Linked DNA regions of Callithrix jacchus. The protein of the gene in region 3 interacts with the protein of the main gene of each other region in a pairwise test. Links are inferred from orthologs where the notes say so. Each region holds a gene or a part of one and is shown on either strand. Other genes may lie near its edges.

Region 1 (3,655 bases), on a different chromosome or scaffold from region 3:
TTATTCTATTTTCACACTTGGCTAACAATTTGGTTGAGAATATTATTCTGACTTGGATATAATTTTCCTTCCAAAATTTGAAGGCATCCCCATAACTATTAGCTTTCAGGACTGCTTTGGAGAAGTGGAAATCTATTGACTCCTGATCTTAGACTGATAACCTGTTTAATCCCTGATCCTGGAAGTCTGGGTTGTATCTTCCTTGTTCCCTGTGATATGAAGTTTTATAATGCTGTGCCTTTGTGTGGGTCTATTTTTAGCTCTGTGTTTGGTACTTGTGGAAACTTTTCAATTGTAAAACTAATGTCCTTCAGTTCTTGGAAATTTTCTTTGTGGGACTCATTTGAGTGAAGTATTTCCTAGACTAATTGTGATATATGTCTGGGAATCAAATAGGTGAGGAGGGCTGAAAAGTTCTCAGCCTTTAACTTCCTCCCTGTTTTCAGCTATGGTTAGTGTGTACCAATTTAAAGAACCTATGTTTTACCTTGTGTAGAAAATAAACCTCCAGTAGTCTGCTGGGATGATGAAGGGAACTCATCTGTCTTCACAGAGGAAGGGAACTGAAGATCTAACTCCTGGAGACTTCCAACCAATCTTCCTGATTTTAGCCTTATATTCAACCCCAAGGATACTAATTATCATGTCTTTAGGGGATTTTAAAATGTATATCAGGTTACTCCATAGCTTTCCATACTGCTAAAAAATTTAGCTTTTTCAAGAGTGCAATCAGTTCTCACCCATGTGCTTTTCAGTTTCCAAAATTTTACTGCTATTCCTTCCTAGCTCATTTTCTTTGCCTTTGTAAGTTTATGCTTTTGAATTTTCTACTTCTGTCATTTTAGTGGTATTTCAGTAGAGAACAAAAGTAAGAGTGTGTATTCAATCAATTATCTTTACCCTGAAGTTGTATATACTCGTATATGATATGACTCTTGTTTGCTGTCTTTGGGATTCTTTCCTTCTTTTTCCTTTTCAGCTTGTTCTAGCACCTTACATTTGATTTCTTCACTTATCTTAACTGGACATAATATGGAAAGCTTGACATTAAAAACAAAATTTATTGTTTACTATTCATTGATAGTCTAAACTAAAATGAATCTAAAATTTGCAACTGTCATTCCTTGTCTAAGATCATATTCAAATAAGTTATATTTTATTTCAGAGTGATATTTATCACATCACAATCTGTAGTTTACAAAGTAGTTTCATTTATAGCATCGCATTTAATCCCTAAAAACCCCACAGCAAGGATGAGCCATTTTATATACAATGTGAAAAAGAAAGGGTTAAATAATAGGTCTACAATCCACTCTCTCTCTAGGGAGAGAAGAGGATGTGCCCAGGAAAGACAGACCTGGAGAAATTTCTCTGAAACACTAACAACAAATGTCCTGGAAAAAAAATAAATGATATCTGTTAGCTACAGAATCCTTATTTATATAATTATTATTTACATACTTTCAGTAGGATGCAACTGAGATTGTTTATGGTAAACAAACCTGGAATCTATGGATTAATGGGGCATAACTCTCTGGAAAATGTAACTATCCAAGCATAAAATGAGTATGTTTTATGACCAAATCAACTTTCTTTGGTGTAAGTAATAAAGAAAGTTCTTCCGTTAATATTAATCAGAATGGATTCTGAAGCAGAAAGGAAATACCTGGGGAGCTGTATTGGCATGCCTAGAACTCTCTGCTTTGCCTATGCCTCATGATCACTTGTATACTTGAAATTATTAGTGAAGCTTGATACTGGCTAAGATCGCTGATCTGCATGAGCATGATTTGACAATCCAATATTTTGTGTTACCCTAAAAGGCAGCTGAACCTCAGAGTGGTTAAGTGACTTGGTGCAAATCACGTGCCAAAACAAACTGCCAAATAGGACTAGGAACCAAATCTTAAATAACATTTTTTCAGCCATTTGACACATATTCTAATGTGATAGGGGGAAAACAACAACAAAAAACATGAGCTGTGTATCAGAAATAGACTTGCCTCCTGGATCCATAACTGATTAGCTGGTTCAATCTTAGGTAAATAACTTACAATATTTAAAACCCATTTCCTGTGCAGGAGCTCTTAAACTATAAAAGAGCTCTTAATGATAAGTGTAAAGGATAAGCATGACATAATATGACAGAACATTTACAAACATTTCTAAAGAATGAAAAAAAATTATTGCTTACTTTTTTCCTGTAATGCTTGCAATTTATTCAGTTCTTCATTCTCTTCATCACTATCTTCACTACTTGTACTGCTGACATCCAAAACGATGTCCCTTTTAGGGTCTACTCGGAGAAAATTGCGGCATTCAAAAGTCAGGTGACCAGCTAAATGAAACAAAAAAATGTGACTGATAAAGCTATAGATACATGATATATTGTTGTTTGTTTTGCTGCTTCACTGTAACCAAGAAGTTACAATTTCAATAATATAATGTAGAAAGCTTTAACTTTTAATCAGTTGGTGGTTGTTTATTTTCCCTATACTTTTTCATGAATATAATACTCAAAGAATTTTTTTCCTTTTGTCCTCAGAACTCCTTATTCAATAAGCATTTTTTGAAACCACTTCTTATGGATTTCAAAGTACTGAGTTATTCTATTTCCCTTTCTAAAAATACAGTAATTTTTTAAATAAATTTTTTTAAAAAGCATCATATTTGGAATTTTATACTGTATTCCTTACCCATACTTTTTCTTTCCCAGTATGACTAATATATTTACAAAATTATATACTTTCATCTAATTAAAGTTGACATAATAGACAAGCATTAATACAACTGAATGTGCTTTACTGAAGAATACCTAAACATTTAATTGCTGCATCATTCCTCTAAAGACTCTACCCTATAAGAAAACTACAACAGTTATCTACTTACATATGATTGCTTTAGAAAGCCAAATATTACAAACACCATAAAAGTACAGGCAATAATACAACCAATACCTAAATACCTATCATTCATATATTAACATTTTGGCATACTGTAAATTTGTTTAAGGGAAAAGCTCACTCACATGCCTGTGCGCGCACACACACACACACACACACAGCTGGAGAGCCTGAATCAACTTCTGGAACACTTTCTCAATCTCATCCTATTTTTTTTTTTGTCCTCTGAAGTGACTGCACTGAAGTTGGTCTCTATCATTCTCAAACATTGTGATATGTATTTTTTCAAAAAAATAAACTCAATTATACCTATTATTCTGCAAGTTTTTTCCCACCACCAAGTATTTTGTGATTTATCTATGTTAAAGAAAACAGGTATAATTTGCTCATTTTATCTAATCGATAATGTTCCACTGTATGAAAATTATATTTATTTATTTATCGTACTACTGATAGAAATGTAGGTTGCTTCCAGTAGTTTGCTACTATAAATAATGTTGAAATTAGTTGTACATGTCTCTTTGTGCACATGTACTAGGTTTTCTCTAGGGTTACAGCTTTCAAATTTTCTTAACAATTGAGAACAATGAAAAATAATGCAACCAAGTGCACTCACACACATATTCATGGATAAATACACCCTAACACACAAAAACTGAAACAAAAGTTACATGAAGGATTTCTACATTCAATGTTCAAAAAAACCAATGCTAATGGTGACCAAATAATTCATTTCACGATCCACTAATGAT
Region 2 (3,655 bases), on a different chromosome or scaffold from region 3:
CAAATTTTTCCATTATCTATATACTGCTTATTCATTTCATCACATGCCAGCTCTTGCTCACAGACAAGCAGAGCTCCACCCCAAGCTGAGAATATTCTATCAGTTAACAATTTCTCTTGTAAATGGACTAGCTCAGTGCTTGTAAAACTTTTGCATATGCACAAATCACATGGTGATCTCTGCGGATTCAGATCTAATAGATGCTGAGATTCTGCCTGTCCAACAGAACCCAGATGATATGATGCTGTTCGTTCCCATATCACACTGAGTAGTAAGGGGATAGACCACAACCATCAGATATTGGAGGAGTAACAGTAGCACCTGGTTCACTGTAGGTAATGAACACAAATAAACAGAGTGGCAAGGCAGGAGCAAGGACTCTGCAGCACACTTTCTAGGGTGGGTCTAGCTCTCTAACCCTCGGTCTCCATATGTTCTTTTTGTTTTTAAAGATAATCATACATCTTTCATACTCTCTTCGCCAGCACATATACTAAAATTGGAACAATACAGAGATCGGCATGAACCCTGTGCAAGGAAAACACACAAATTCATGAAGCACTCCATATTTTTAATAAAAAGGGGTAAAAAATAATAATAGCAGCTTTCTAAAAATTACTTGTTAGCAAAAACAATGCACGGAAAGCATCTAGCAGAGCCTGGGGCATCATGACAGCCCCTCAATAAATGCTACCTATTTTCATTTTCTGTGCAATGAGTAAGGGACAAAAAAATGGCTTACTGAAACATAAAGAAAATCAGGTTGTGACAATCTTTATAATTTAATTCCTGTATTATAATAATTACTGTATTATAAGTGAGCTATGATCATGCCACTGCACTTTAGCCTGGATGACAGAGCAAGAGACCTTGACTCTTAATAATACTGTATTATAAGGTAAAAAATAGAACCACTCAGTTATTTCTATTTATAGAATGCATTTTTTATTTTCAAATTAACTCTAACTGGCTTCATTTTAGACATGTAATAACTGTTGAATTAAAGAGTTCACTATATTAAAAAACAGGCAAAGTTTTATTTTGGTATTATAGTGATCTCAAATATATCTTGTAAAAAATTAATGTCCTCACTCCAATGAAGCATAGTATATATTATTCTTTCATAATTATAAGTCTATAAGTTATCTTATTCCTTAGGTGGTACTGTAGCAATCATGAGATTAACAGAATTGGCTTAATTATAAAGTACATCGCTTTCCCTAATGGTTCCCATGTTTTAGGTCTTAAAAACATTATTTCTTTTTATTATATTTGAGTAAGACATATTTTACTGATTTGTCTGAGAAGACACAGGTAGAGCTGTTAAGATTATTGACAGAACACTATAAGGAAGCAGATGTTCACAACCTTATAAAAACTAAATAGATAAGACAGGTTTGGAAACATGATATAAACCTGCATCTAGCTATTCACATACCTTGTTTTCTTCACCTGAATGCTGCTACTGAGTTTTTCCAGTACATATTCACCAGTGTCATGATTAATAATAAGCACACAGTCTTTCTGGTAAGGCCGTTTGTTCCCCTTGAACACAGTCATGGGTGGCGTGGATCCCTATTTGCCACAAAAGTATAAGATGATCAAACTAAACATAGCAGTTATGAATACCAACTGAATTTACAGATGACTCTACCTGATGAAATGTTTTATTCGAGCTATTTAAAAAGAATAGACTGAACTGATTTCTATTTTAACTCCTTCTGGTTTCCCAGGCAAAAATAAAGGAGAAATAATATAGCAAGAATCTGTAAATGTGCAATGCATTCTAAGTAGTCAAGAAAGGTAGTATAAAAATTTTAAATTACTGTATATGTTCCGAGAGAGAAAAACAAATGAACTATTACTTGCATTATACTAAGCAGAGCTATCACTCTATATGGTACAACTGTGAGTGATCCCTTTATTTCTTCGAAATTAGAGAGTTCAAGGTTTCCCCTTCTCAAGGCAAGCAACCAACAGAGCATTTTCCAAGAGCAGGTCATTATCCTGGTTGGCTCAGAATAAATCAGTCAGGTCACTCATCTGCCTAAGCCTTTCAATCACTCCTCAGTTGCTCTCAAGCCAAAGGATAAAATCTTTAAACTAGCCAGGAAACCCTGCACTACTGGGCCCTTCCCTGGCTCTCCACCTTACCCTGCAGCAGATGCCCCTGGGCATGTGCTTCAAAGCAGAAGGCAATTGGCTTCTCTCAGATCCTCAAGCTCTCTCCTGCCTCTGGGCTTTAACAAGGCTTCTCTGGCTATATCCTGCCAGCTCTCTTTAAATTATCCAACCTCCAGATCTGCTCACAGGTTACTTCCTTAAGGAAGCCGCCCCTGATTTAGAATAACTGCTGTATTTTCTAGTATTTATTTAAACTCCAGACCATAAGCTCCACAAGGGCAAGAAATGTGCTTGTTTTGTTCAAGGTTGTATTCTTCATGCCTAGTGACGGGCCAATGTGTGGGAGGCATTCATTAATATTTGTCAAATATAGTATTTAATGCCTTGCTTAGAATCAAAAACCACTTGGCTCTTTGCTTATTTATATAGCAAACTATAGCGCTAGAAAGGACTTTAGGGACCATTTATCTAAACCTTTCATTTTACATATGGGAAACTAAGGTCCAAAGGGAGATGATGTAACCTGCCAAAGCCAAAAAGTAATCAAACAGCAGTTTGAATGGGCAGACCATTTTTCCTCAGTACAAAGCGTTCCAGATCTCCCTGTCTAGAGACTTTTCATTCTGTCACCAGCTACCAAGAACTTACGTTCCAGCATGGGGTGTGACATGCAATAACACATGTTCACTAAGAGCATCATGTGATCCTCTGGTGCTTCGTGATTAGTGCTGCCTTGGGCGCTAATTCACAAAAGTCTTTCTCTGCAAGGGTTCTTAATCCAGCTTTTAACTTAGTTCTCCATCCCTACATCAGTGGAATGTGCCAAACCTCTGGCTCCTGCCTGCCTTAACTCCTGGCTTGGTTGCCTCACACTCCTGAGCTGTTGTGGCCATATAATCAGCAGGGCGCCTAGACCTTTTCTCTCTAGAGTTGCTTGGGAGAAAAGCTATATCAAAAGTGGGGCTAGGTGTCCAAACAGGAACCTTGTCTACTCAGTAGCAGACAGAAGAAAAGGAAGCTTGGGCAAAATGACAAAGAATCTTTTTTTTTTTTAATGAGAGGGAGTCTCATTCCATCGTCCAGGCTGGAGTGCAGTGGCATGATCTTAGCTCACTGCAACCTCTACCTCCCAGGCTCAAGCGATCCTCCCACCTCAGCTTCCCAAGTACCTGGGACCACAGACATGCACCATCACCCCCAGCTCATTTTTTGTATTTTTTGTACAGACAGGGTTTCACCATATTGCCCAGGCTGGTCTTGAACCCCTGAGCTCAAGTTATCCATCCACTTCCGCCTCACAAAGTGCTAGGATTACAAGAATTATTTTTAATCAAGCACCTGCCTAGCATGAAGTCCACCCCACCCCACTCCCCCAAATCCCTTTTTTGCTTATGTTGCCACTTTAGAAATCTAAACATTTTTAAAAGTAGGAAGTTTAAATTGCAACAATATAAATGACAAGAATTCACTGTGATCCCACATTTAAAAAAAACAATGAAATAAACTCACAGGGATATGTGGCAGTGTAATT
Region 3 (3,226 bases):
GCAGGGGTGTCTTCGTGAGAGCCAGGAAGCTGTCTGCCCTGCGTCCTCACTCAGTACCTGTCGGAAAGGGTTAGGGCAGGGGCCGCACGGGAAGGGTTAGGCCCCTGGCCTCGCTAGCTCGGTTCCCCGAGGACTTGAGGAAGTGTTACCATGGAGACAGCACGCACCCCACCCCCTCCCAGGCCCAGGGTCTCGGGCTTGGTGTCTCCAGTTCTCTCCCCTTACCCACCCTCCACCCCTCCCCATCCCTCGCTCTCCAACCGAGATCTTGTATCGCCCCCTGGCGGCCTAGCTCGGGCTCCAAGCCAGATTCCGAAATGCAAGGGGTTGCCCGTGGCGAAAACGCCAAGAACAAGGGGGACTTACCCTACTACAAGATCCTGCTCCCAGCCTCTGGGGCGCGGGGGTCCCGCGCTCCCCTTTCTTCACTGACAACAGAGGCCTCGCCTGGCAGCTGCATCTGTCTTCCCACCTCCCGTCAACCTCAGCCCAGATGGATCTCGGGTTAGGGATGATCCAGAGGGGTATTCTCCACCCCTCTGCAGGCCTTCTCAACCCCAGTTAAAGAACAACTTTTCTACGTTTTGTCAAAACTTTAATAAATTTGCAACATTCGACAGTTCACGCACCCCCGCCCCTGCCCTCCTCCTCCCCAAGTCCCTCGCTCCTCCTGGTGGATATGCGTTGTCTTCCAGCTCTTGCAAGCGGGGCCCGAAAGGTTTCAGGTGCGGGCTGCTCTGGGCAGCAGGTGTCCGAGGCCCCAGGCTGGGGAAGGGGGCGAGAACCAGTCCCTTCCCAGAAGCCCTGTCATGCTCAGGCAGGCCTTCCTATCTACCCAGCAGTCCTGTTGCTTTCGCCCCCTCCCCAAATTCCACTGGGCCCGCCCAGAATGGGTGTGGGTGTCTCCCGCCTGCGGGCGCCCGCAAGCCTAAATCTCCTCCAGAAAGTCGGTAGGAAACAGCCCCACCTTGCGGCCGGTGTAGACCTTGACATAGCCGCCAGCCTCGTCTCCTTTCTGTACCACTATCTAGAGGATTAAAGGATCAGAAGTAGGAGAAGAATCAAAGGAAACGGTAGGAAAGGACAGCAGGGGAGCCCGGGGTTACAGGGGCTTACCCTAGTCTCATTAATGGTTAAGCTCTCCAAGTAGTGTGGTGGGCTAGGGGGCATTCAGGCCTTGGATTAGCCTGGGGCATTAACCTGGGGCAACAGCCTACCTGGTCCTTCTTAAGAGTGATCTGCCCTATCTCTCGGTTCCCCACGAAGGATCTCGTCACGCGGTGCACACGTTCTCCAGCCCGAACCCGAATGATGAAGTTTGGAGGGAAAAATCCGACCTTCTCCCCGATTTTCCCCTAGCGAAGATAGTCGGGAGAGTCCTCTCTCAATCTTGGGTTCTGGACTCAACCCACACTCCACCCTAGCCCTAGCCATTTCTCTCACCCGCCACCATTCTTCATTGGAGTCATCAATGACTGTGATCTTCTCTCCCGGCCTGGGAGGGGAAGGGAAGGGCCTCACTCACATAGCAGGTCCCCTCCTGTACCCTGGATCAAGTCTCCAAGCCCTGAGTCACCCTCTCCCTTTTCCTTGGGGGAATCCAGCTCTTTCCCTTTCACTCCACAGTACCAGCCCCCTGCCCCAAGGCCTCTCACGGGAAATCCAGATCGTCCTTTTCCAGGGCTTTGAATCGATAGAGAGCCACAAAGTAATGAGACTGCTGGAAGCCAGGATGCTTGTGCTGGGGGTGAAAGGGAATGATGAGTCTTGGGCTCCTCTACCCCACACTGAGGGGCAGGATTCCAAGGCAGGGGCATTCACCACACACTCTGCACTCCAACTCTCTTCTAGTTCCCTGAACTGAGAGGAGTTTTTTGGTTGTTGGTGGGTGTGCAAGGTGATAGAGCGAGTGGGTCAAGGGTGATGGGAAGTCTAGGAGTTAAAGAGTGAGCTTCTGCTGGACCATGAGTGGTGGTGTCAGACCTGGGTTGAGGAGAGGACAGGGTCCTTGTAGGGAGGAAGGATTCTCACTTTGTCATCAGGTGTCTTCTTTTCAGCCTTCTTATCCCCTTCAGGGTTTCCTGGGATAGGAAACACCAACAAATTGTCTGTCTCCTGGAGGGCAGTTCTTACTCTTTTACCCTTCTGTGGAAGGGCCTCATCTATCCAAAGCTGGCCTGCCCTTTGCTCCTCCACCCTCTGTTCGACAGCTGAGCCTCTGATCCTACTCCATCTCTGGATGGAGGTGGGTGACACTCACCATCCTGGGGTTTGCCTTCCTCTGGTCTGGCAGACTCTGGCTCCTCCTCCATCATGGCTGCTAGAGGCTGGAGGGGGCACCAGAGTTAGGGAGACACTGTCTTGGGAATCCATGCACTAGCGCTCTCTAATCAGGTCAGATAACTATAGAATAATGGGATCTCAGGGTTGGAAGAGGCCTTGGAGGAAATAGCTAGTCTAGCCACCTGCCTTCCTCTAAAACATCCTGGCAGGTGGGTCACCCACATTCTGCTTGAATGTAGCTAAATGACAGGGAATTCACTACCAGACTCCAGGTCCTTGACTATGCTGTCAACCTTTAAAAATACTCCAGTGTGTAAGTAAAGATGAGCAGCATGGCCAGATGCGGTGGCTCACGCCTGTAACCCCAGCACTTTGGGAGGCCAAGGCAGGGGTGGATCACCTGAGGTTAGGAGTTCAAGAACAGTCTGACCAACATGGAGAAACCTCATTTCTACTAAAAATACAAAATTAGCCGGGCGGTGCATGCCTGTAATCCCAGGTACTCGGGAGGCTGAGGCAGGAGATTTGCTTGAACCCAGGAGGGGGAGGTTGCAGTGAGTTGGATCCATACCATTGCACTCCAGCCTGGGCAACAAGAGCAAGACTCCATCTTCAAAAAAATAATAGCACAATTTTTATAATAATTCCCTTAGAATATAACCCAGGGGCGGGGCGTGGTGGCTCACACCTGTAATCCCAGCTCTTTGGGAGGCGGAGGTGGGTGGATCACGAGGTCAGGAGATCAAGACCATCTGGCTAATATGGTGAAACCCCGTCTCTACTAAAAATACAAAAAATTATCTGGGTGTGATAGCATGCACCTGTAATCCCAGCTACTCAGGAGGTTGAGGCAGGAGAACCCAGGAGGCAGAGGTTGTAGTGAGCTGAGAAAACAATCTATGGCTGGAGTTCTTAACCAGAGGCACACGGGGAGCGGCAGCAG

Evidence for each region. The genes of interacting proteins can lie anywhere in the genome.
Region 1: the proteins of STAC3 (region 3) and SREK1IP1 interact in binary tests that used the Homo sapiens proteins (3 or more experiments, as listed by UniProt). The two-hybrid records come from large-scale screens. The link is inferred for Callithrix jacchus from reciprocal best matches to the Homo sapiens genes STAC3 and SREK1IP1.
Region 2: the proteins of STAC3 (region 3) and EAF1 interact in binary tests that used the Homo sapiens proteins (3 or more experiments, as listed by UniProt). The two-hybrid records come from large-scale screens. The link is inferred for Callithrix jacchus from reciprocal best matches to the Homo sapiens genes STAC3 and EAF1.

Annotation. Positions count from the first base shown.
Region 1 is NC_133503.1:144,792,987-144,796,641, reverse strand, and holds part of SREK1IP1 (protein SREK1IP1), read right to left. Parts: intron 2,339-3,655; coding exon 2,195-2,338; intron 1-2,194. UniProt on the Homo sapiens protein: Possible splicing regulator involved in the control of cellular survival.
Region 2 is NC_133518.1:54,233,631-54,237,285, reverse strand, and holds part of EAF1 (ELL-associated factor 1), read right to left. Parts: coding exon 3,634-3,655; intron 1,576-3,633; coding exon 1,439-1,575; intron 574-1,438; exon of another isoform or gene 470-573; intron 1-469. UniProt on the Homo sapiens protein: Acts as a transcriptional transactivator of ELL and ELL2 elongation activities.
Region 3 is NC_133510.1:62,460,591-62,463,816, reverse strand, and holds the end of STAC3 (SH3 and cysteine-rich domain-containing protein 3), read right to left. Parts: intron 2,328-3,226; coding exon 2,261-2,327; intron 2,082-2,260; coding exon 2,032-2,081; intron 1,742-2,031; coding exon 1,656-1,741; intron 1,496-1,655; coding exon 1,444-1,495; intron 1,356-1,443; coding exon 1,218-1,355; intron 1,028-1,217; coding exon 929-1,027; 3' UTR 574-928; downstream 1-573. UniProt on the Homo sapiens protein: Required for normal excitation-contraction coupling in skeletal muscle and for normal muscle contraction in response to membrane depolarization. Required for normal Ca(2+) release from the sarcplasmic reticulum, which ultimately leads to muscle contraction.